Linked DNA regions of Nothobranchius furzeri. Each later gene encodes a partner of the first gene's protein in a complex. Links are inferred from orthologs where the notes say so. Each region holds a gene or a part of one and is shown in the gene's direction. Other genes may lie near its edges.

What was found. Proteins that work in one complex are often made in the same cells at the same time.
Region 2: snrpd3l (region 1) and armc7 share a complex: the UniProt entries of both Homo sapiens proteins name them as parts of the minor spliceosome. The link is inferred for Nothobranchius furzeri from reciprocal best matches to the Homo sapiens genes SNRPD3 and ARMC7.
Region 3: snrpd3l (region 1) and snip1 share a complex: the UniProt entries of both Homo sapiens proteins name them as parts of the minor spliceosome. The link is inferred for Nothobranchius furzeri from reciprocal best matches to the Homo sapiens genes SNRPD3 and SNIP1.
Region 4: snrpd3l (region 1) and cwc27 share a complex: the UniProt entries of both Homo sapiens proteins name them as parts of the minor spliceosome. The link is inferred for Nothobranchius furzeri from reciprocal best matches to the Homo sapiens genes SNRPD3 and CWC27.
Region 5: snrpd3l (region 1) and lsm8 share a complex: the UniProt entries of both Homo sapiens proteins name them as parts of the U4/U6-U5 tri-snRNP complex. The link is inferred for Nothobranchius furzeri from reciprocal best matches to the Homo sapiens genes SNRPD3 and LSM8.
Region 6: snrpd3l (region 1) and crnkl1 share a complex: the UniProt entries of both Homo sapiens proteins name them as parts of the minor spliceosome. The link is inferred for Nothobranchius furzeri from reciprocal best matches to the Homo sapiens genes SNRPD3 and CRNKL1.

What each region holds. Positions count from the first base shown.
Region 1 is NC_091746.1:48,714,707-48,718,978, forward strand, and holds snrpd3l (small nuclear ribonucleoprotein D3 polypeptide, like), read left to right. Parts: upstream 1-1,472; 5' UTR 1,473-1,604; intron 1,605-2,394; 5' UTR 2,395-2,409; coding exon 2,410-2,535; intron 2,536-3,322; coding exon 3,323-3,515; intron 3,516-3,898; coding exon 3,899-3,963; 3' UTR 3,964-4,094; downstream 4,095-4,272. UniProt on the Homo sapiens protein: Plays a role in pre-mRNA splicing as a core component of the spliceosomal U1, U2, U4 and U5 small nuclear ribonucleoproteins (snRNPs), the building blocks of the spliceosome.
Region 2 is NC_091756.1:50,515,213-50,519,237, forward strand, and holds the start of armc7 (armadillo repeat-containing protein 7), read left to right. Parts: upstream 1-1,225; 5' UTR 1,226-1,258; coding exon 1,259-1,318; intron 1,319-1,392; coding exon 1,393-1,480; intron 1,481-3,477; coding exon 3,478-3,621; intron 3,622-3,700; coding exon 3,701-4,025. UniProt on the Homo sapiens protein: As a component of the minor spliceosome, involved in the splicing of U12-type introns in pre-mRNAs.
Region 3 is NC_091745.1:70,706,758-70,710,942, forward strand, and holds snip1 (smad nuclear-interacting protein 1), read left to right. Parts: upstream 1-1,385; 5' UTR 1,386-1,528; coding exon 1,529-1,689; intron 1,690-2,331; coding exon 2,332-2,461; intron 2,462-2,535; coding exon 2,536-3,071; intron 3,072-3,156; coding exon 3,157-3,409; 3' UTR 3,410-3,888; downstream 3,889-4,185. Other genes in the region: dnali1 (axonemal dynein light intermediate polypeptide 1), read right to left, coding at 1,072-1,149. UniProt on the Homo sapiens protein: Required for pre-mRNA splicing as component of the spliceosome. As a component of the minor spliceosome, involved in the splicing of U12-type introns in pre-mRNAs. Down-regulates NF-kappa-B signaling by competing with RELA for CREBBP/EP300 binding.
Region 4 is NC_091746.1:63,257,101-63,261,366, reverse strand, and holds the start of cwc27 (spliceosome-associated protein CWC27 homolog), read left to right. Parts: upstream 1-1,466; 5' UTR 1,467-1,777; coding exon 1,778-1,819; intron 1,820-2,166; coding exon 2,167-2,263; intron 2,264-4,266. Other genes in the region: ppwd1 (peptidylprolyl isomerase domain and WD repeat-containing protein 1), read right to left, coding at 813-915, 1,006-1,138. UniProt on the Homo sapiens protein: As part of the spliceosome, plays a role in pre-mRNA splicing. Probable inactive PPIase with no peptidyl-prolyl cis-trans isomerase activity. As a component of the minor spliceosome, involved in the splicing of U12-type introns in pre-mRNAs.
Region 5 is NC_091741.1:34,219,555-34,223,704, reverse strand, and holds lsm8 (LSM8 homolog, U6 small nuclear RNA associated), read left to right. Parts: upstream 1-1,454; 5' UTR 1,455-2,079; coding exon 2,080-2,110; intron 2,111-2,577; coding exon 2,578-2,618; intron 2,619-3,087; coding exon 3,088-3,215; intron 3,216-3,338; coding exon 3,339-3,429; 3' UTR 3,430-3,650; downstream 3,651-4,150. UniProt on the Homo sapiens protein: Plays a role in pre-mRNA splicing as component of the U4/U6-U5 tri-snRNP complex that is involved in spliceosome assembly, and as component of the precatalytic spliceosome (spliceosome B complex).
Region 6 is NC_091742.1:17,433,302-17,437,331, reverse strand, and holds the start of crnkl1 (crooked neck-like protein 1), read left to right. Parts: upstream 1-1,230; 5' UTR 1,231-1,368; coding exon 1,369-1,416; intron 1,417-1,920; coding exon 1,921-2,073; intron 2,074-2,160; coding exon 2,161-2,252; intron 2,253-2,334; coding exon 2,335-2,493; intron 2,494-2,566; coding exon 2,567-2,733; intron 2,734-3,018; coding exon 3,019-3,197; intron 3,198-3,270; coding exon 3,271-3,441; intron 3,442-3,549; coding exon 3,550-3,741; intron 3,742-3,810; coding exon 3,811-3,870; intron 3,871-3,942; coding exon 3,943-4,023; intron 4,024-4,030. UniProt on the Homo sapiens protein: Involved in pre-mRNA splicing process. As a component of the minor spliceosome, involved in the splicing of U12-type introns in pre-mRNAs.

The sequences.
Region 1 (4,272 bases):
TGTCATTGCCAGGTCAACCTATGATCTGAAGTCACCAATGAACACAAACCAGCTACGTTTCAGCTGAACCAAAGGACTTATTTCCACTTTGTTACTACCTGTGATGCTACCACTACTTTCAGGGTCTGGCCTGCACACATCAAAATCATAAAAAGATTCCTCACACTCACTCACTCACTCACACACACACACACACACACACACACACACACACACACACACACACACACACACACACACACACACACACACACACACACACACACACACACACACACACACACACACACACGTAAAGTGCCCAACCACAAACTACTCACTGAAAGGTGTTTACAGATCAGCCATGGCTGCTGACGCCAGTCAATGAGCCAAATGCAATGGAAATCAAATGAAGATTCATTTGATGATGTCTTTTATTATCCCATTATGCCTTCTCTTTCCCCATTAAAAAGCTCTTTCAATGTGGGACAGACCTGCATTAGGCCACTTTTATGTGTCCCGTAGCAATCCCCGAGACACATCTCCTGGAACAAACATACACGGGTATGTATATTATGTGTACTTTATGTTTATTCTAGTTCTTTGCATATCATTTGTGCAGTACACTGTGGCCATACTCAGTGTTGTAAAAATAGATAAAATTAGTTCATTTTAATGTTTTGTTTTTATGTCTAATGCTGTTTTGATTTGCATGAGATACAGATCATAAAAATACTGTTGTGGGTGATTCAATGATGGATCAATGTTCCATGGGAATTTAAAAAGTACCTAACACTGAGCTGCTTTATGAAAAGCCATGTAAAGCTGTAAATGTCAACTTGGAGCCAAGATGACAAGTAATGCAAAACTGTTCTATTTTTCTGAAAGAAAATGCAAATCAATCCTGCTACTGGATCAACATTTGCTTTTTAAAACAATACAGTTCAGTGTCTGGTGTAGCTGCATAAATTGCCCATCGTCATTAGACGATGCAGAAAATGTAGTCAACAGCTGATTTCCTTCAAAATCATGGAAATCAAGTTTATTCATTAAACTTTAGTCAGATGTACGTAAACACATATTCAGTCCTCTTAGAAATGCAATGTTCTACTTGTGGAGAATGAAAATCAATTTTCATTTCCATCATAACTCAACATTTATAGAAGAAAGAATGAAACAATCTTTTATATAGCGCCCCCAAGATAAAAATCGCGAGGTGCTTCTCAAGCATAAAAAATTAAAAACAAATACAAGTAAAAAACAGATTATAAATTAAGGAAACGTGATTAAAATGTAAATAGTTTCTTATAATTTTAGTTTTTATTTTATTTAATTTTATGTGTTTCAGTCTTTATAAAAAAAATAATTCTACATAAGAAGCTGAGTTTGTCAGTTTCACTAAATAATAGTCCCATAGACTGTACATACTCAATAGTCCTCAACCATGGGCGTTATTGAACTACGTGTCCCACAATGCATCGCGGTAGGTGCCACCGGAAACACTCGTTGTGACCCTTCGTTGCAGGCGGAAAAAAAGGCTCAAAAGGATCCCGAAAGCGTCAAACGCACGTTGCAGTTCAAGAAGAAATAACAATAAAGCAAATAACTCTTACGAACAAGTCAAGGTAAGTTACAGGAGTAACATTAATTAGTTTGAGGAAACGGAGTTCTCATTCTTCTATTGGTTTTCGTTATTTAGAAATTTCGATTTATTTCGTTCATGTGTAGCATGGCTAAGGTTACGCGCATTTTCAAAACTCCGTATGTTACTGTAAAATATTTAGGTATTTAACTATGCTTATTAATCGTAGTAAACTGTAAATAGCATTTACGGCCAATCATATTTACTGTTTGGAATTGTTTAATGGTAGTTTCTAGATAAATTTGTCCTGTAGCCTTGCTAGCTAGTATGGCTAACTGAGCTAGCGGTTAGAATGCTATCAAACATTCTCCACCAGACTCTTAAAAAAAGAGAATACCCAAGCGAAATCGTTTATTCTCTAGTAATGTTATAAAGTGTATTACTGCGTAAATTCATGCTAAATAATAAAAACACCTTCATTTTAGTTAAGTCTAAATACTATGTCCCACATGAAAGTTTCAATTAATGTAGCGTTCGGGTTCACAACACTTCTTTTGTTATGGCTTTTTGCACAAAACCTGTTTTCCCAGGGCGTCTTTCCTTATTTGTCTTAATTTCAGTGACTAGTATTAATCCACAGTCATGAAAAAGTTCACTCGCCTTATTCTGTTGCTTCTCCTACTAGTTGTAATGCAGATTGTAGATTTCAGTGCTGGAAACTGGGCAACCCGGCTAACCAATAAAGTTAAATGGATTTGGGTTGCCAATATTTAAGAGCAGACATTTCTGTGGGTGAGCACGTATAATCTTTTGCTTTGTGTGTTGTGTTCCAGGAAAAGCTTTGAAACATGTCCATCGGTGTACCAATCAAGGTCCTGCATGAGGCAGAGGGTCACATTGTGACCTGTGAGACCAACACTGGAGAGGTGTACAGGGGCAAGCTGATAGAAGCAGAGGACAATATGAACTGCCAGGTTGGTTTGTTTAGCAGTATGGTTTAAAAGGGTTCCAGTGATTTTTAATTGTCAAGAAAAGTGTCAATGAAAAGCCTTCAAAATACTGTTGATCATAAACATCCAGTCAGTGCTTGTTTCAATCCCATCTGCTGCCTGAATAAATTTTGTTTTTATTTCTCTTGCAAATTGCCTTTCTTGCAGCTTTTTAATGGGTTAAATTAAAAAAAATATTTAATTTTTATTTTGTGCACTCACAATAACTTGGGTCAGTAAATTTGGCATTTAAGGTGTTCTGTTAATGTGGATTTTTTGTGGGGTATGTAGTCATAAAAGCTTTTGTTTGTGTAATTACTGGTAAACTAATTTGTGTTTGGGATTAGTGTTCCCCTAAATTGCAAAACGTTTGGCCAAACAATGGTGTACATGGATGCTTGGTGTGAAGAGTTTTATTTTTTTGTAAAAGTGTTTCATTAAAGCATTCTTATCAGAAAGGCTTTTATGTTGGGTTTTCATTTTAAGTTGGTCTTTAGCTTTCATGATTTACCCAGTTCAGTCAGTTATTTAACTCTGTTGTTGCATCATAATTTAATAAACAGTCTAAAGTAACATCACTCTTCAATTGGATTCTATTTCAGCACACATTTTTATAAGGGTTGAATAAACTGAAATGTTAATTTACATTTGAGCCATGCTAGTTTGGTAACCTGTGTGCACCAAGATCCAGATAAGTAACAGAACTGGATTAATGGATGCTCACACGGTCATTTCACCTGTTGTGGACCTAAACTTGAATTTGTCCCTACAGATGTCCAACATCACCGTGACCTACCGCGATGGCCGGGTTGCACAGTTGGAACAGGTCTACATTCGCGGCAGCAAGATCCGCTTTTTGATCCTACCGGACATGTTAAAGAATGCTCCGATGTTAAAGAGTATGAAGAACAAGAACCAAGGCTCTGGGGCAGGAAGAGGAAAGGCAGCTATTCTTAAAGCACAAGGTGAGTGAGAAGCATTTGGACAATTTCTCCAGATGCTGAGACAGCGCTAGAGTTTAGTTCCCTCTTTAGCTGCTTGGCTCTTAAATAGTTGTTAATTACTTTTTTTTACAGGTAACAACAGTGTTCTATGTGGACACTTCTCACATTTTCTGAGGTGGAATGGTTTGAAAGACAGATCCCAATTCTTTTTTATCTAATATAAAGGGAAAAAAAGGCTTTTTCAAAGGAATGTTTAATGGTATTGTCTAATTTCTTCTCTTGTAGAAGTCCAACATAGTCAAAATATTTGAGTAGGGAAAATAGGGATTTGTGGGGGGGCATTTCTTCCAGACCAAAGAGATACCTTTTTTTGGAGTTTGACTTTTTATTTTTACTTTTAACAGTGGCTGCAAGAGGACGAGGTCGTGGTGGAATGGGGAGAGGCAACATTTTCCAGAAGAGACGATAACTTATTTTGTTTTAAATTTCATTGTTTGATGTCATCTTTTGGATTTACTATGCTTTGGTTTACTTTGCAGTCTTTTGCTCTACAATTTATCACTGTTTTTATTTTGTATGAAATAAACAGATTTCAGCTCAGTGTTGCTCTTCTTGACTGAACCTTTGCTGTGCTTTGCCCCATTGAAGCCCTTTTTTTGTAGTATTATTCAATTTTGAGTCCCACCTCTTTCATTTATATTGTGTATTGTAACCTTTTAGCAAGTAAAATTTGTACATTTACCCACGGAAAAGCATTTTACTGCATATTTATCCTAGT
Region 2 (4,025 bases), on another chromosome or scaffold:
TTATGAAGTTAAAATTTATATCTCAGACTTGATACACCTTAATGACAAAATACAAGTCCTGATACTTTGGTTTTAATTCAACCCTGATAAAAAAAAAAATCGTTTATCCAGTAATATTTTTCTCCCACTGTTTCTGTTTGGCTTAGGGGTTTAGTCTGTTTTTCCCAGATAGTAAGTACATTTTATTTATATAACACCCATCACAGACAGTAATCACAAAGATAAAAAAAACAAGACAAATTAAAGATGATTCGAGTTAAAAATAAGGCTATTTATGTAGATGGTGGTTAATTCTGCTCCCGCTTGACCAACACGAGTGTCAAAATTTAAAAGCGTGGTTCCTGCTCAGCTGAACTTCCATCCAGTCTTATAATTTACTGATTTACTGGATGACTGTAATGTCTGATGGCCTGTAAAGCATCAGTCGTCTGCAAAAAGTTCATATGTTCAGTCACTTCCTGTCTGTTGCTGCTTCTTCTTCTCCACCAGCTCTTTCTGTTTCTCCCTCCTCTCCAGGACTTCCATCATCCTGGCATAGTTGCGTTCTCGCTCCTGGGCCTTGAGCTCAACCACGTCTTCAAGGAACCTGTGTCTGCATAAACGACAAGCAAATATGTTTACGATTTGCTGCTAACTCATAGTATTTAATATTTTTGCTTCAGTCTCCAATGACAGTTTCACCGTCACACCGGTGTTACAGTGAAATGTGTTGTGCGTGTGTTTCTTTTACGCAGTTAGCAAAGCTCAGTTTCACCTGTTAATGAAAATAGTGGCGAGTCCAACCAGCAGAGTTCCGAACAAAATGGGTTTGGCGAGGCGCTTTCTCGCGGACAGCCGGTGGTGATTCATTGTTGCTGTTTTACTTAAATAAACAAAGCGACATAGCGTTTTTGTTAAGCTGACCTCCCGCAACGTGCGTTATGTGCTGTTGTACGAGCACATAAACACAAACACACCTTCTGCTCCTTAACTTCCGCTCAGCTGCCGGTGTTGTATCAATCTCTGTACACCATTTAAAATGTGTTTCCTCATCGGCTCGCGTAGCTCTCGCGTATTTCATTGCACAATTGTGACAGCAATGCTAGCATTTATAACGTTATAGGCGAGTTTATAGCAACGATGTTACGATTTCGTGTAGCTAAAAATGCGTTACTCTTTAAATCATGCGAAAGTGAACGGGGAACACATCTTCACGGACAAACAAGTTTTGATAAAACAGCGGAACAAATATCTACTTGCGCAGTTTTTCCGAACACTTATGAGCCGCGGACCCATACGTGAAATGAAAACAACCTCTGAATCAGCTATGAACGGTCAAGTAACTTAAACATCAGCATAATCTGATATCTGTGTGAATTTTATTTGAAGTGTTAAATGTGTTTTTGCTAAAAGATGAAGAGAAATGAGTCAGCTGAAGCGCCTGAACGGTTTGAATATTTACAGACGCTGGTTACTGAATTTCAGGACACTGACAGTGAAGGTAGGAATAACCTTTGATCTGTGTTCTACAAAGTTAAAATAAAAACCGTTTTAAAACGAACACGTAGACTCTCAACACCCTCAGTTTAGATGCATGCTATTATTTATTAGTGATGGGAATGGCTCAGCTCACCAGAAAGAGCCGGCTCTTTCGGCTCCCAAATGGCTCCTCAGATTTTCTGTTTCGTAGAGTACATTTATAACCAAAATAATGCAAAACTATATGTAAAATTATTTACTAATGTAAAAAAAAATGCAATATATCAAATATTTATAATTTCTATGGATTTAATAACTGAACACTTTAAGAAATTGTCACTTTCCGACTGCTGGCGCTCATTTTCTCACCGTCTTCATCACACTCTCCTCTCTATCTCGCTCACCTTTTTCCTCCTCATTCCCTCTCGTCTACCTCCACCTGCATGTGCTCTGCTGTGTGTCTGAGTCTGATTCTCCCTCTTCCCCGTCCCTACTGCTCTGTGTGTGGACAGTCTGGTCACACAGTTACACATGTTGACCAATCGCCTGTAGCGTTCACCAAAGCAAGAGGGGAGGGGGGAGGGGAGGGGACGGCTCCCAATGATGAGCCGGCTCCCGTTGTTCACTTCAAAGAGCCGACTCTTAGAGCCGGTTCGTTCGGACTGACACATCACTATTATTTATATCGTTAGAGGGCTTTTTCAGAAGCCGTTGTTCAGTCGAAAACTGTACTCTCCATCAGTATATTTATTTGAAGTGAGAGAAAAAAAATCGTCAAAAGAACATTTGTATATATGTTAGACCAGTTTTTATCCATTGCAATAGGAGAAAGGCTGACTATCAGCATTAGAATTGTGTTCAGAAGACAAAAAGATCACAAATACATGCAAATGACTTCATGAAGTTAAAATTTTTCGAAAAAGAATCTGTAAACATGACTAAATCAGGTAGAAGTGAACAAATACATCAAATAAGCTGTAATTCTAAGCAGCGTTTTAAGTTTTATTCTGAAAGTGTATCGTTGTGACATGAAATAAATGTAAGCTTAGTATTTGGAAACCAAAAAGTGACGTTATTTAACCAAATTCTGATTGTTCATTCTACATGTTAGTTCACTTTGAGATTACTGCCATAAGTAAACATTTTCTGTTGGATTTTACCGCAGAAAGCTGCTTGTTTTTATTTTTAAAAAAACGGTGTTAAAAATAAGTAGCCAGATAATGTGATGAATTAAATAATGCGCTAGTTCCACATCCATCCATCCAGTTGTAAATATCTACACTGGCTGCCATTAAACTATAGAAACGATTACTAAGTGCTACTGCTAGTTTATAAATGAGGCCAAAATACATGTTGGATCTCCTTCCTGTATATATACACCCAGCAGGGCTCTGAGATCCTTAGGAAACAGTCAGCTGGTAGAACCTCGGGTCAGAACCAAACAGGGTGAAGCTGCTTTTAGCTACTATGCTGCTCACAGATGGAATCAGCTTCTTTATGACCTGAAATGTGCCCCAACTCTAGTAACTTTTAAGTCAAAATGGAAGACTTTCATGCATTCATCAGCCTTTGAAGGATTATTTCTCATGCTGTACCTTCTGCGCTCAGTCTTTAACTTTGTCTTTTATTTTATTTCTTACATTTAATTTTATTAGAGTATTTAAAATTTGAATTTAAAAGCTGCTGTTTTACGTCGTCACGTTGATTTTAATCTTTTATGATCATGCTGGTCATGCACCTGGAAAGTACATTGAATAGCTTCAGTGTATGAAATGTGCTACACAAATAAAGCTGCCTCGCCTTTCTAGTTTACAGACAAATCTTATTTTTATACTGTCAGCTCCACATTTGAGCCTGAAGGGTGTTTTGATGTGAAAGTAAAAAGCGCCCCCTGTGGTATAAATGTGTACTGTTTCTGTGCTGCAGCCTCTGTTTATCATTGTTTGTAATGAGCTGGTGTAAGGTGAATTAGTGGATGTAGGTATCTCTGTTTGTTTCATTACTTTTTCTCTTTATCAGAGGCAAAGGAGCAGGTTCTGGCAAATCTAGCCAACTTTGCATATGACCCAAAGAACATGGAGTACCTGAGGGAGCTGCAGGTTCCTGACCTGTTCCTGGACATGTTGACCGAAGAGAATGAGAACTTTGTGGAGTTTGGGATGGGTGAGCATCTCTCCAACTAAAACAGTAAATCATGTTTGTTTATGTAAAAATCATCTAAACTCAAATATTGTGTTGACAGGGGGTCTGTGTAACCTCAGTATGGACCCTGGATGCAGAGACATCATCTTGGAGAACGATGGGATCAGCTTGATCACAAACCACCTGTCAAACCGGAGGGAGGAGACGGTGCTGTCTGCCGTCACCACCCTGATGAACCTCACCACACCAGCGACCTGCTCTCAGATCACAGAGCCAGGGATCGTTCAGTGCATGCTGCGCTTCTCACTCGCAGAGAGCCCCCGTCTGCGCAACCTGGCCTCGGTCTTCCTGCAGGACTGCTGCAGCCAGGAGCAGGTGAGACAGGCTGAGCTGCAGATGCAGGGGGTGCAGACGGCCATCGGGAT
Region 3 (4,185 bases), on another chromosome or scaffold:
CAGGTTGGAGGTAATTAAGGTTATTTAAGCAGTTCAGAGTTAATAAAGCGGTAGATATGATGTTTCACAAGTTGTTGCTAGAGTTATGTGAAATCTTACTTGTGATTTTACTATAAAACATAATAATAATCAACTTCTCCTTCATGTTTGCTCGGAGGTGTATAGAGCATCCTGTCCGCTCATTGGTCAGTGAATGAAACCTCCGTTGATTGGTCCTCGTCTGAGCGACAGCGATGAAAAGTTGAAAATGTTTCAACTTTCTGGGATCGCGTCGCTGGGTCGTCCGTGCACGACACGTGCACGAGTGCAAAATTTCACACGCACGTTTTTCGCGTTTCGCTTAGTAGGAGAGAGACCCCCGATTATCGCTTTGTCGCGCATGTCTCATTGAAAATGAATGGAGGAGAGGTGATGTCGCCTCCCGTGTGTTGAGCCCTTAACACTCATGCCTGATGATTTTCCTGTTGTGCCTCACTCATGTGTCTTTCTTCCTCTGTCCTCTCTCTTTTCTCCTCTTTTTCTGTCTCTCTTCCTCACAGCACTCCTGTCTTCTCTTCTGTCTGTACTAACAAAAATGTTGTCAATCTGTGGGACAGTGGGGGCGAGTGAGACTGCTGCACACACACAAAAAAAAAGACTGCTGCTTGCGTGGGCCCCCTTGTGGCTGTGGGCCCCTGGGCCTGTGCCCAGTTTGCCCATATTATAATCCGGCCTTGCCAAAAGCGCATCACGCACAGTGTGTGGGGTTTATGAAAAAAGCCAGATTATATTAATTATAGCATTAGCTACTGAACAACAAGCACACAAACAACACTTAAGTAATTAACTGGCGTTATTTCCCATCTGTATAATTTAAGCCGATGTGCTTTTTTCCGCTCTGGTTTGTGAGATGGGCAGCAGTTGTTGTTTTTTCCCTTGTCAGTGGCTCTATTCCCTTTTCCGTACAGAGTAGAAATAAATAAATAAAATGTAGGGCACAAAAAGTCTGGATCTCTTTGCTCTGTGTTTCTTCCAACAACTTCCGTTAATGGTACCCCTTCAATCCACACCTTTAGGGTTTGTCCGACTTACTTTGGTTGAGCTTGAGGCTGTCCTCTTAACCAAAACGGGATCGTCATATTTCAAGAGAGAATCGTCTAATTCAATCATCCTGACGCCTTTATGTACAGAAATAGCTGTTTATGTTGTCATGGTAACGTTCGGGCGTTTGCCGGAAAACAGAAAAAAAAAGATCTAAGCGCAATTTAAAAAAGAAAAATAGCTCAAATCCACTTGGAGTTGAATTTACGGCTTCATAAAAATATCTGTAGTTTTCATGATTTAATCCGTGTTATCTTTAAACGGAACGGAAGTCATCATAGCGGAACGTTTAGTTGAAAGCACATATACCACGTCGGAAGAAATTGTCAGCGCGCCAAACGGAAACGGAACGCAACTTTAGCAACCGTTTGGTGGGTTTTGCGTTTGTTTGCTTCTGTGGCTAACTATGCTTGCGTAGCCACAAAAAGTTGACGGATTTTGTTCAAAAATGGCCAAAGAGAAGCGACACAAGAGAAGAGATTCTCCCACGCGAGAGCCGGAAGTGAAAGTAAAACAGGAGAAATTGAGTCCGAGTAGGCCGCAGAAATCACGCCGCTCGAGGTCGAGATCCACAGACAACTCCAGTCCACAGAGGAGAAGAACCAGCAGGTAAACACGCGTTTGTCGCCCTTTGAGCACCACCAAGGTGATAATATTCAGATCTGATGTTCTTTATTTTCTAATAACTGAATTTAAATGTGACTTAAGTTGACACATCTTCAAAGGAAATGCTTTTTAGAAAAAAAAAGTTCAGATAATTTACGTTATTTCTTTATATCACAGTAAGTAGATTGTTATTAACACGTGTATTTACAACTATATCACGTTCAGCTTCAAGTGCCTATAGTACGTCAGTTAGATTATTAACCAAGCTCCTGTCTTACTCGAATGAGTACAAATCAAGAAACAATCAAAAGCATCTAAATATATAGTTTATATAGCTACATTTATTTAAATTTCTTATAATGTGTAGTAATATTCTAAAATCCAATGGCAATTAGCTAAAACATGCGTTTTAGCTAATCAAAACTTTATTAATTGGTATCAAAAACTAACATCTTAGATCCTCTACACACATTTTGGATATTTAATGCAAAGTCAAAGTATTGATTAATCTTGTTTAATTCCCACACCTGATCTCTTACAATCTCTAACACTGAAAGATGACTTTATTACTATTTTAGTTTGTAAATGCTGCCTAACTGATACGAGTGGCTTAAGAGTGTTTTCTCTTTTGTGCTCCTCACACAGGTCACCCGTGAGGACAAGAGACCGCTCACCAGGCAGAAGGGAGACCTCTCCTGTTAGACGAAACAGCAGATCTCCCAGAAACAAGAGAAATCACAGCCCTCATTGTAGCAGTGACTCTAGAATAAAGAGGGTGATTATAAAATTCTAAACTGAAACTGACTTGTCTCAACTTGTAGTCATGAAGGTTTTGTGTTTTTGTTTTAGGAGCGTGATGAGCATAGATCTAGCGGCGATGAGCGGAGGAGGAGGAACGAGCAGCCAGATGAAAGACGAAGCAGGTGGGAACATAACAGGTCCGGGGACCGGGATGGAGAGAGGCATCGTGAGCGAAACTCCCAAGTGACTCAGCAAGCTGAGCGGCGGCAGCACGATGAGCGGCGTAGGGAAAATCGGCGGCGGCGTGAAGAAAATCAAGAACAGGAGTTTGGACAAGCTGAGGGAGACGGCAGCGACTCGGGGGCACCGCCTGCTGATAAAGAGAAGCCCAACTTTGAATTGTCAGGGGCTCTCACAGAGGACACCAACACGTTCCGTGGGGTGGTGATCAAGTACAACGAGCCACAGGAAGCTCGAATTCCAAAGCGCAGGTGGCGATTGTACCCTTTCAAGAATGATGAACCCCTTCCTGTCATGTACATTCACAGACAGAGTGCCTATTTGTTGGGGCGGCAAAGAAAGATCGCTGATATCCCCATCGACCACCCATCCTGCTCCAAGCAACATGCAGTATTCCAATACAGGTATGTTGTATGTAAATGTTTTCACTGTGTGATTAATTAGATTTGTGGGGAAAATATACAACTAAGGATTCTGTTTATTCTGCAGGTTAGTGGAGTACACTCGAAAAGACGGCACCACTGGCCGCAGGGTAAGGCCTTATATCATCGACCTCGCTTCTGGCAACGGTACCTACCTGAACAACCAGCGGATCGAGTCTCAGCGCTACTACGAGCTCAAAGAAAAAGACGTTCTCAAGTTTGGCTTTAGCAGCCGCGAATACGTCCTATTGCACGAATTCTCCGACACGAGCGAAGTTGATGCAAAGCAGGAAGAAGAAGAAGACGAGGGTCTTGAGTAAATTACTCCCAATGTGTTTGTGCCTAAATTCATTTATGATGGATAAGACCAATGAGAATGTTAGAAAGTGGAGCGATGTATCTTGTGCGTGGGAATTCACACCACGTGGTTGGATTGTTATGTATATTGTGTAAATATTGAACTCTTGCTTAAACCTGCCACACCTGTCTCCAAGTAGACCTCCTTTCTCAGGATTAATGCATGGCTGATCTCATGTGTTATGTCAGGGTACATCATTGGAAAACCAACCTTATGTTTAGGAAAGCATTTCTTATTGACTTAATGAACATAAATACACAGAATATAATAATTGTATTTTTATTTTTTGCTTTTTTTTGTAGTGGAGGGGAAATACTTGATGCTATGTGTTTCTGCATCATTTATACAAAAACTTCCCTGTTTGATTTTGTCAGTTCAGGTGTATTGATAGTAAGAGTTCATTTTTCTACTGTAAATTAAAATATAGATTATTAAAAAAAATCTCTGTGATTGTTATTAAAGAGCAAGTAACGCCTAAATTAACTATTTTTTTTTGTGCTGATAACTTGCACAGATGAGTGTCTAATGGGGCTGTACACACGTGTAATCATTAATGTGGCAGTTTAGTAGCCTGGCAAGCCAGACTAAATAAATGTATTATTTACTTTGCAAAGCAAGAATTTGGTCTAGTTCACTAGGTTAGCAGTTTAGTGCGTCTTACTTAAAATTTGATACTTCAGCCCAAAACCATAATTATATCTCCATCTTTTGGTTAAAACCTCTGCTCCACATTTATGT
Region 4 (4,266 bases), about 15 Mb from region 1:
GGCTACCACTCAGGATGTGACTTCTGATGTTGATGTGCTGGTGAAAGCTAAAAGATGTTAAGTAAAATGAGTCAAATATACTTTAAAAGCTGCATGAAACTGATCTAGCCATGTGATCTGTAAGCTCGTTGAATCACTAAGGAATGTTTATTTATTTATGGATTTTTTTTCTTCTTTCAAATTTTCAAGTACACTTCAGGTATTTTACTTGTACTATTTTGGATACACTGTCCTCAGGCTACAGCCTTGTTTTATATTGATTGTATTAAAACAAAGAAAACCATCTGAAGTTTTTTTTAATTTACCGGTTCGGCCCACTTGGGACTAGATTTCCCTCAATGTGGCCCCTGAGCTAAAATGAGTTTGACACCCCTGGTTTACACGGTCAGCGATTAGTCTTCATGTCATGCACTGGGTACAGACAGCGGTTAGCTGACTTCCGAGGACTCGCGATAGGGAATGGTGGGTCGCTTAGGGACTATCAACAAATTTGTAGTCCTTTGTAAACGAGTACAAAATTGTTTTTAAACTTCCAGAATAATTTCCTAAATGACTCAAAATTACTTCTGACATGTGTTACTAAACTACATTTACAAGACACAACAGTTTTAACACATTTCACTCAATCTGATCTTTTTTATTAGGATTTTATTTCAAAATTAAGGGACTTATAGCGAGTCCTCGGAAATCAGCACATCGCTGTGCTCAGTGCACGGCATAAAGACTTATCGCTAACAGTGTAAACCAATGTCTGTCAAATATCCAACGTCCAAGTTCAAGCTAACTTTACCGCGGTATTTTTCTCCACTTACTTCGAACACACCAAGTGTGTGATAACGTCTCTATGCATGTAGCTCCGTTCGTACATGGCAGCTGATGGGAGGTTATCCAGGTAGACTCGCTCGTATTCTAGGACTGAAGAAATAACCGAACCAGAATTAGCGGGATTTACTGAAAAGTGGATTCGCGCAAACCATTGTGGTAAATTCAGTGTCATTAACCCACCTCTTCGTTTCTTTGTCTTTGATGCTTCATTTGGCATGGGTCCAACCCAGTCTGTACTTTCATCATTTCCATCTTCATCTTGAACATCATCAGCTTTTCGTTTTAACTCCAAACTGTTTTCAACCTCCGCCATTGCTGCACAGCGTCGTGTGGTCCTTTCGTAATTACGGCACTTCCGCTGCGCTCTGAATTTAATTTTGCTCCGTCAGAAACTTAGCGAAATTTATTAGAGATTGTAAATTTTTAAGTAATATTTTAGAATGCACCCTAAATTATAAAACTGGATTATATTTTCGTATTTTAAGTGTAATAGAAGCTTAATGCGGAACTTGTTATTATGCTTTGTTTCTATGGGCCTATTAACGCTGAACATCGTGTGGATTCAACCATTTTCACTTTTAGGGGCTGAGCCTGCGATTGTTTTTGATGTTATGTTGTCGTTAGCGGTTTAGCTGGTTGTTATGAACGTGAAAAAATATTTTCAAAATGAAAACATATAAACATCTTAAATAATTATCATAAACAGCAGAGTATACTAAATAAAAAAGAGTAGTACATCAGGATTCCCCCGTGTTCTCTGAAGTAAACACTGCACTAGCATGGCTGTTGGAGGATAAGTGTGAAATTTGCAACATTCGGGAAAAGTACAAGCAGTTATCAGGATTACTAACCGTTTATCTATTATACATTTTACGTGAGTTGAAGGTATAAAGGTGTTAAAGATTAGAATTTCGTTTTTTTTTCGAAGCACATAAGCAGATTCACCTTCAAAATGAGTAACATATATATCCAGGAACCTCCAACAAGTGGAAAGGTGAGTGCCTTCCTATCTTTTTATTTTGTCTGTATTTACATTAAGAACATGCAGTGTAGCTTTTCCTTGTAAAGTTTATACACATTTCGTTGAAACCAGCTAGTTGTTGATATGTTACCAGCTAGTTGTTGATATGTTGCTAGTAGGAGGTGAACGCGTGTGCCATAGAAGTAGCGGGATGGTAGGAGAAGTTAGCCTGGCAAGCGAGACAAAATAAATATATTATTTGCTTTGCAAACTTCTGTGCAAAAAAAAAAAAACTTTGCAAAGAAAGATTTTGGTCTAGTTCACTAGGCTAGGGAGAAGTAGTTTTATATGTAGATATGTTTTGCTGTGCTGCTTTTCAGGTGCTGATGAAGACCTCAGCAGGGGAAATTGACATCGAGCTGTGGTCCAAGGAGACTCCTAAAGCATGCAGGAACTTTGTGCAGCTGTGCATGGAAGGTAAGGTAGACCGTGCTGTTAAAAAACGGTCCGTGGAGGAAAAATCTGAAATTCAGAAGTTGTGGATGATGCATTCCAAAAAAATACAAGTATCCATATGTACATATTGATATTTACTGCAGTACAGATATCAGTGAACCTCATGTATGTTAAAGGGGGTATATTATCCATTCATCCATCCATCCATTTTCGGCTGCTTATCCGGGGTCGGGTTGTGGGTGCAGCAGTAGGCCCAGACTTCCCTCTCCCCAGCCACTAAGGCCAGCTTCTCCAGGGGAATCCTAGGGAGTTACCTGGCCAGGTGAATGACATTGTCCCTCCAGCATTTCCTGGGTCTTGCTTTAGGTCTTCTCCCGGTTGGACATGCCCGGAAAACCTCACCAGGGAGGTGTCCAGGAGGCATCTTAACTAGATCCTCCTCAACTGGTTCCTCTTGATGTGCAGGAGCAGCAGGTCTGCTCCGAGCCCCTCCCAGATGATCAAGCTCCTCACCCTATCTCTAAGGAAGAGCCCAGCCACCCTGCAGAGAAAACTCATTTAGGGCGCTTTTATCTCCAATCTCATTCTTTCGGTCACTACCCAAAGCTGAAAAGATAAAAACACTTAGTTTTAGTGTCAGTTCATGACCCAGCTCATCTTTCTCAAACAGGAAGCTACGTTTTTAAAACCTTTGTTTTGGCGTCAGACTCCGGCTGCAGGTCTCCTTTTCTCGTCTTCCAGCTAAACAGCGGAGCTGTCAGCTGGTCATTCATCCTTCTCCTCCTTTATACACAAGAACCCACTAAACTACAGAGAAGTAACAATCTGTCACAGATCGCTGCTATATAACTTTTGCCGTGAATTCTGTTTCAATGCTCCGCAGATCCGCTCCATGTGACAGCTCACACCCGCTGTCACAGAGCTTCCTCTGTCCACAATTTATCTGATGGTCTAAAAAAGGTAGTTTAATTATTTTAGTATAACTCTGGTTTAACTTGTTCTATTAACAGAAATAAAAACTGGTGGGTATTGAAACTGAAGCTCAGAGAGGCGGAGTCTTGCTGCTGCGGCGTCCCAAAAGGTGTGTTTTCATTGGTCGGTTGCAGACAGGAGTCCCAGGTTTTCAAGCATGCTTGAAGACTTTTTTAAGCTGATTTGGTCGTGAGACGGCTCAAAAAGTTGTCGCAGAGCCGGCCACACTGTATTTTTTTTTGTCACGATTCTGCTCAGGACTAGGAATTTGGCAAAGACAGCCGAAAATCATACAGTGTGATCTGGGCGTAAGGGTATAAAGCTGGTCCAGTAGGCACATTTTGTCAGAGTGGGCATGGGCGGAGTTTCACTGTCTCTCAGAGAGACGAGACGCTGGACGCTCTCCTGAGCCGACAACCCGCTCCTGCAGCTGTCGCTTCTGTCACGTTGGGCGAACCATCGGACACGCCACTCGTCACAGATGAAGCTGAACATTCACCTCTCCCTTCAGTAAGACAAGCAGTAAGTGTAGCAACACAGTGTTCTCCAAATATACAATATCTGAAAAAATGATTAAAGTTGTTTTACTGAATATCCTAATCATCTATGAAGCACACGACAGCTCTGGATGCTAAAATTCTCCTAAACAATTCATAATTGAATAAGTTTGACCACGCGACAGCTTACCGTTAACTTCTGCGGACAAAAATATGAGCTCTTAACAACAAACACTCTCCCTTTCGGTTCCCATGGAGACGCATTTGCAGCACACACACCACTGCTTTTGTCCTGCTCTCGCTTCATCCCGCCCTTCTTGCTCTTCATTTTGATGCTCGTTTTGTGAAACATAATCAGTGATGTCATCATTAATGTTTCGCTCTGGTTCAAATAGAAAAGGCTGAACAGACGACATGTCGATGTCGCTTAACAGTCACTACAGGGTCCCAAAGCCGGCCGGTGCAACCGAGGTACAACCGTATGACGTCACCACCCAGAGTGCATTGTGACGCTAACAACAATCGCGAACTACGAGTTAAACTATTTTTTACAAA
Region 5 (4,150 bases), on another chromosome or scaffold:
GACAAAACTCTAACATGAGACTGTGCTCTAACCTGTCACATAGCAAGCCTAATGCAGTCAAACATGTCAGATGGACCGTATGACAGCTGCTAACGTTGGCCCTGCCCTACTTTACCTCTACATTACAGTTCCTTTATCCATGTCCATCCTAGAGATCCTCTCTGACCTTCATGCTTATTTAGAGCAGCTGATTTTTAAAGCTAGCAGAGTTCATCCTTGGCAGTGGGTTCACTCACTCATTTAACCCTTCACCACTGAAATCAGTTTGTTCATTTCAATCCTCCTAAATAATCCTCCAATCATCCAACTGGAATCCTTAAGGGTCCCGTAACATCCATCCTGTCAGAACAGGCCTTGGGAGCCCAGGTGTTACTAGAACTAACGGTGTCTCCTCACCAGCGTGAGCCTCCAAACATGAACTTTAAATTCATGCATTTATCTCCTCTTGTAACACTTTAACATGTTTTAAAAGGCTTGTATCATGATAAGTTACACCTCCCAGACCAAAGATAAGATAAAACATTATCATAAACACTGCAGAGACGTCATTATTTATGAAATATATGTTATTTTCCTGAGCCGTTACTTCACCCAAGATATGAGATGCATGGATTTGATGAAACCACGCTGTCTCATGCAGTCCTATATGTGTAACACACACACACACACACACACACGCACGCCATGACTAATTTAACTACATTGAATTGCTTTAGTAATAATTTAATCTCTAATTCTGGAGTAAAATAAAGAAACAAGCTAAATCATCACATATCTGTGGCATCAAGGAGCAACTTCTGAGTTCAAACACAGGGATGGAGCACAATGTTTACACCTGAACAGTATCATGATGTTTTAACTCACAGAGGCCTGCAGCTCTTCTGTTTATGAGCAAAGCGCTGATAATCCGCTTGTTATGAGCACTAAACAGTATTTTGCCGCTGCCGTGCGGAGCGGTAGGGAAACACATTTCAAACACGGAACCGAGTCTCGCTACCGAACCGAGCAGAATTCTGATGATGTCACACTGGTGCGCGAAGGTGCAGGTTCCAACCACAGGAGAGGAGGGAGAGAGGTGATAAACAGCGAGTTGATCGACTGAACTGATGATGTCTTTGAGCAAAAGTGTACACCCCCACACACCCCCGGTTTAGATGCGGTCCTCATGCAGGTGTCTCTTTCCGTTCTGACGCTGCTTCACGTAATATTTTTAATTTATTAAGCCTATAATTTATTTTTACTCAGTAACGGATATGATTTAAAATGTAGCGAATTACAATTCTTTTTAAAAAACTTACTCAAGTAAAAGTACAGATTTTAAAAATGACTTAAAAAGTATAAATATACAAAAAAGCTACTCAATTACAGTAACGTGAGTAAATGTAATTCATTACTTTCCACCTCTGTCGGATGCTCGAGCATCAGGAAGCAGAAAAGGAAAGACAATAGAAAATGTTTAAAGGGAGGAAAACGTAGACCAAAATGAAAAATAAATTTAAAAAAGGCAAAAGCTCAGGAGCACTGACAGGAAGAAGAAAGCAGAGCAAATATTGGAGGCACTCAAAGGGAGAGAAAGACATGAATAAAGAGGAGGACTAATAAAAAGGGAAAATAACTCATGGCAGAAGAGGGGAGAGTTTTGTAAATCCAATTAAAAGTAAGATTGCCGAAATTTATTTTAAGGGGGCCCCATGTCTGTGCTCGCCTTGGGCCCCAAATTGCTAAATGCGCCACTGATAGGGCTATAGTGTGTTTCATTTCTGTACCCAATATTTTGTCTTTAGGGTTGTAGCTCTGACATCACCTACTCACACGTTTAAACAACTTTCCAGATCAATGTTTGATGATAACATTTGGAGGAATTTGAATAAAAAAAACGTCACCGCTCGACCCTCCGCGCCCCTTCCTGCGCGATGATTCGGCGTATGATTAGTCTTGACTTGTCTCCGGTGTTTTGGTGCGGTGCGGTTTGATGCTCTTTCCGTTTTATTTTTTTACACAGCGGCGCAAATAGACAACCGTTGGAGGGATTTACCGATTTTTCTGCTGGACAGATAGAGACCGAGTCCGGGACGAAGCATGTCCACCGCGCTGGAGAGCTACATCAACCGTATCTTGCTGCTAGCATGCTAACTGCATGCTTAAGAAGTGCTAGTTAGCTTAGCGCGCTAGCTTCGATGTTTATGTAATTTGTTGTTGTTTAGGTGGAGTTTAGAGACGGTAAAAGCTAAAGCGACAAAAAAACTACTCATTTTTATTTAGAACTGAATGAACATACCTGGAATAACTTTTACGTAGCAGTTCAATTTCAAATCAGTGTTTGCATAAAAAAAAATCACTGATAGAATTTTATATGATCAGATGGCGTCAAAACGTAGATATTAACGGTTCTGATCTGCGTTAGTTCGGTTTCACGGGTTGTGAATAAAATATATTTAGTTTGTTTCTGATTTAAGATGTCGGGTTATTTAACTGAAGCACACCCATCGTTGTTGTTCGGGTGAAAACGGAGAAGCTAGACGTAATTTACTGATGAGTTGTGCACAGATGATGTTTCCTTGACTCCAGCTGATCCAGGAACTGTTGCCATCGTCACCTCAGACGGGAGGATGATCGTGGTGAGTTCACGTTTTCAGCTCAGCTGGACAGCAGAGAAGATGATACGGTTCTGGTGTTTAGATGTTTGAGGCTCCAGCACAAGGATTTCCCCTCCACCTGAACCGAAGCCTCATTTAAACCGGTGTCGGTCACAGGGGATTTAGTTTTTCCCTCGACTGTAAATCCAGAAATCTAGTCCTGTTCCCATCACTACAGATGCTGACAGACACGTTTTTACTTTTATGGTCAGATTTTTACTGTTTTGGGGCATAAAACTGCAGATAACTGAAAATCATTTTGAAATAAAAGTTCAAGTGTAATCTGAACTATTAGTATTTTATTAGCCTGGTTGTTTTAAGTATGATTCATTGTAGCTCAACACCACCAGCGTGTTGATGAATAATAATATTAAGTTGCTTTGGAATCCTCTGACTGAAAGGTGCTGTACTTATTTATTTATATTTATTTATTTATCATTTGGGTGTTCAGGGCACTTTGAAGGGCTTTGATCAGACCATCAACCTGATCCTGGATGAGAGCCACGAGCGCGTGTTCAGCTCCAACCAGGGGGTGGAGCAGGTGGTGCTGGGCCTCTACATCGTTAGAGGAGACAACGTGTGAGTCACCTCGGTCAAACTAAAACTAAATGAGAAATGATGACCCCTAAGGACGTCCCGGTGCACGGGGAGCTCGGCTGCTCCTCGGACAGCTTCTAACCGTTTCTCGTGTTTCTGCTCCAGCGCCGTGATCGGGGAGATTGATGAGGAGACCGACTCCACGCTGGATTTAGGGAACATCAGAGCTGAGCCGCTCAACTCTGTTGTACACTGACCTTTGAACCCTGCTGTCTCCATGGCAACCCATCACAGTACAGCTCAGTTCTGTTGCTGTCGTGTTCTGGGAGGCGTGATGAGTGGTGAAGCTGCAGAACCTCGATTGTTCTGTTTCTGTTTGTATTTTTTATAAATAACATGTTGGATTTGTTTTCTACTTCATGTTTTTGTCAGTCTGAGATCATTTTAATAAAGTCTGATTTGTTAAGCTGTTTATAATGAAGTCCTCCGGTCTCTAAACATCCAGACTCTGGAGCAGAACAAGAAAACAACACATAAACAATGAAACTTTAATAAAATATGTGGAAAAACAAGATCGTTGCCAAAGAAACATTAAATAGCGCCAACTCTACGGCTTTGTTCAAACAGCTCATGGTCTCTATTTTAGTTCTGATATCTTTAGTCATGAATGAGTAATTATTTCTCCATCTGGAAGAAGAATGAGGATCTGTCCTGTTCTCATTTGTCTAGCATCGATTAATCGGGGCTGCCTATGGACAATCGTTAGCATTGACTGCCGATGCTCGCTTGGATTAGAGGCGATTGAATCCACTTGAGAATCGTTCGTGGAGCCGGGAGAGGAGGGGAGCGCTTTGTCAAGCAGGAATTTATCAGGAGAGCCCCGATGTTCAAGGTTCAAGGTTGTCTTTATTAATCCCCAAGGGGGAAATTGAATTGCCTTGGACAAGTAAACACAACATGCACATCCACACAATAAA
Region 6 (4,030 bases), on another chromosome or scaffold:
TCTACAAACACAAGAACAGTGCTAATTCCTATATGTATTGTTTTCACATTGGTTATGACAGCCTCTAGGTGTAAATGTCATTTTTACTAATTGCTATTTATCTCTGTCTCACTAGTGAGAGGCAGCTGATGTCCTATGCCATGGAACTGCTCATATACTCGGAGAAAATCAGAAAAGCTCTGGACTCATCTGAATTTTTCAAGAGGTTGTAGCAATGTGTGGACATTTATTATTATTATTATTTTTTGGAAGGTATTTGTAAGGCCAATAAAAGCTGTTGCTGGTTGTTTCATTTGTCAGAACTTTTTTTTCTAAAGCCAAACTTTTCTGCTTTTGTGTTTACAGTATATTCTTTACAGATTAGTGTATGGTCAATATCAGTTTACTAGTCTTGTGAATTGTATACTTAATGCAAAATATTTTAGTAATTTCTAAATCAATACATTTTGTGTGAAAGGGCCAGCAATTATTCCTGTTAACAGAATATATGAAATGCATATATACACATGTAAATATGCCTAAAAATTACACAGCAGCAGCTTTTCACTGTAAAGAAGCAATAAAAAAATCACAGATAGTAACATAAATATTAACTACTCACTCGTATGAACTTAGACCTACTGTTAGTGCCTGTAATAACAAATGGTTGAAAGTTAAATGTTGCTGTAGGAGGCGTGCTCCCAAAAATGGGGGTCAGTGGGCTTAAGGGGTTAATTAAAACGATTACCACTAATTACTTTTTCTGATATTTTATTTTATTGCATTTAAAATAAACACTTGCACATACATTACTCACCTGCTAACGTCAGTAAGCATAGGTATGTTGTGCCTATTGTACGGCAACTGATTATTTGTTGGTGGTATCTGTGTTTTATAATCTCACTGGGGATGGCCATGAAGTGTGTATACAAGAAATAAAAATAATCTCACTGGGGATGGCCAAAAAAATCCATACATTCATATTTAAACCTGGAGTCCTGTCTGTTTAATTACATTATTACTATTTCTATATTTATTTTCTTTCAATTGTGTTGTTCGCTGGGAGGGCCGCCGTTATTGAGCTCGGGGGTATCTCAACAGGGGGGCGTGTTTTGTCGGGGTGGGTGGGGGGTGGGGGGTGTTTGGCCGGGGCTACGTCTGCAGCTAGGAGGGTTTCAGTCACGTGGTACAAAAAATTGAGTTTTTTACTCTCTCCCTTTGTGTAACTTCCGTTGCTATACCAACGTACCGGAAGTCGCAGAGCATTGTGGGTACTGTCATGGTGGCTGGAGCAGCAAACGGAACGTTTATGTGGCTTAAGCTTTGAAACAGTCGTTTCTTTGGGACCTTTTATTTTACAGAGAACGTCTGGTCCGACACACCGGCAGCATGGCCTCCACGGCGGCAGGGAAACAGCGGATACCGAAGGTGGCGAAGGTAAGCGGACCGGAGCGCGGAGCTAAGAGCGGCTAAGCTAATGCTAACGCATTACTGTTTAGCTGTAGTGACCCGTGAGTTCTGTTCTGATGGCCCGGGTCCAGAGACACGAGCTCCTGTCCTCCACCGGGAGCTCAGAGGCTGCTCCTGGATGTGTGGGAGCTTTGGTTCCCCCAGATGTTCCGGTCACCTGGGATCTCAGCATCACTGCTAAGGTCCAGTAGTTCTGCCATGCTGGACCTGAAGTGCCATTTATCAGCACAACCCTAGAATGTTTCAGCTCACTGGTTCTGGTCCGGCCCGGCTCATCGATCATAACCAGAAAAACAAAACAAAAAAAAAATTGTAAATTCAAAAACGATCAAATGTTCTGGTAAAACGCAGAAAGACTTTTTGGCCAATTCTGGTTTTAAAGAGTGTAAAATCGCACCGGACCCTGGTTCTGGTTCTAGGACAGGAGTGGTACCGAGGAGTGGTCCTGAAGCTTATTGTGTTGCTTTCCAGGTGAAGAACAAAGCTCCTGCTGAGGTCCAGATCACAGCTGAGCAGCTGCTGAGAGAGGCCAAGGAGAGGGAGCTGGAGCTTCTGCCTCCGCCACCCAAACAGAAGATCACCGATAAGGAGGAGCTGAACGACTACAAGCTGAGGAAGAGGAAGGTGATTTAGAGAGCGTAGCCTCCATGGGTGGGTTAGTCTAACAGGTAAACAACACGTCTGATGGGTACTGGTCTAACTGTGTTTCAGGCTTTTGAAGACAACATCAGGAAGAACCGGACCATCATCAGTAACTGGATTAAGTACGCTCAGTGGGAGGAAAGTCTGAAGGAGATCCAGAGGTATTTAGGTCATCACCACAGCTGGAACTAGAGGTTTAAGGTAACCTGGTTAGTTGTTTAAACACTGTTCATCTGGGTTCAGGGCCCGGTCCATTTATGAAAGAGCGCTGGACGTCGATCACCGCAATGTCACTTTGTGGCTGAAGTACGCCGAAATGGAGATGAAGAGCCGCCAGGTGAATCATGCTCGTAACATCTGGGACAGAGCTATCACCATCCTTCCACGGGTCAACCAGTTCTGGTAGGACTCTATAGCTTGGGGTTCTGTCAGAGCCTTCACGTGTGTGCTGGAACGTTTTTGATGTTCTGCTCAGGTACAAGTACACCTACATGGAGGAGATGCTGGGGAACGTGGCTGGCTGCAGGCAGGTGTTTGAACGCTGGATGGAGTGGGAACCCGAAGAACAGGCCTGGCACTCCTACATCAACTTTGAGCTGCGCTACAAGGAGGTGGACAAAGCCCGGACCATCTACGAGCACTATATCCTTTCTACTGGAGCCCAGTAGAACCTAGAATGGTGGGGTTAGAACACACGTTCCATAAAAACAACCGGAACAGGTCCAGTCAGACTCGAATTAAAACACCAAAGATCTGTGACCCGGTTCAGCTACAGATTCAGACCCATAATGCCTTAAACCTGATCCTACAGAGTACTGGAGAACATCTCTGTTCCTTCTGACCCGGTTTTTAACTAACCCTGGTTCTGGTGGTTGATGGGCTGCGCGTGGTTTTGAACAGACAGGAAGTTCTTTAACTCGTCTTCACTCGTCCTTGTTCACCCGGAGGTGAAGAACTGGATCAAATACGCTCGCTTCGAGGAGAAGCACGGATATGTGGCTCACAGCAGGAAGGTGTACGAGCGGGCTGTGGAGTTCTTCGGGGAGGAACACGTGGAGGAGAACCTGTTTGTGGCCTTTGCCAAGTTTGAGGAGACACAGAAGGAGGTGGGTGCTATCAGAACTTTGTTTATGGGTTTGTTTGGGTGGATTCTCTTACTTCTGTTCTTGTTCTGGACAGTTTGAGCGTGTTCGAGTCATCTACAAGTACGCACTGGACAGAATCCCCAAACATCAGGCCCAGGAGCTCTTCAAGAACTACACCATGTTTGAAAAGAAGTTTGGAGACCGGAGAGGAATCGAAGATGTGATCGTCAGCAAACGGAGGTTCCAGTACGAAGAGGAAGTGAAGGTACTTCACCTGTCTGGAGGTCAGAGATGAAGTCTGGTTCTGGGCTCAGGTGTGCAGAGGCAGGTGTTCTGCTGTGTGGCCCAAACTCAGCAACTTCTCGTCCTTCAGGCTAACCCACACAACTACGACGCCTGGTTTGATTACCTGCGGCTGGTGGAGAGCGATGCGGACGCCGACACGGTGAGAGAGGTTTACGAACGAGCCATTGCCAATGTGCCCCCCCTGCAGGAGAAGAGACACTGGAGGCGCTACATCTACCTGTGGATCAACTACGCTCTGTACGAGGAGCTGGAGACCAAGGTCAGTGGTCCTGCAGCGTTCCTGCAGAGGGCGCTGACGGACCGGTGTAACGGTGACATGTGTCGGCAGGACCCGGAGAGGACGAGGCAGGTTTACCAGGCTTGTCTGGAGCTGATCCCTCACAAGAAGGTCTTTAGAACTTCACCATGATGTAACCCCCCACCACCACCAGGCTGTGACGTGCTTTCTCTTCTCTTTCAGTTCACATTTGCTAAGATGTGGCTGCTTCATGCTCAGTTTGAAATCCGACAAAAGAATCTTCAGAACTCCAGAAAGATCATGGTGAGCT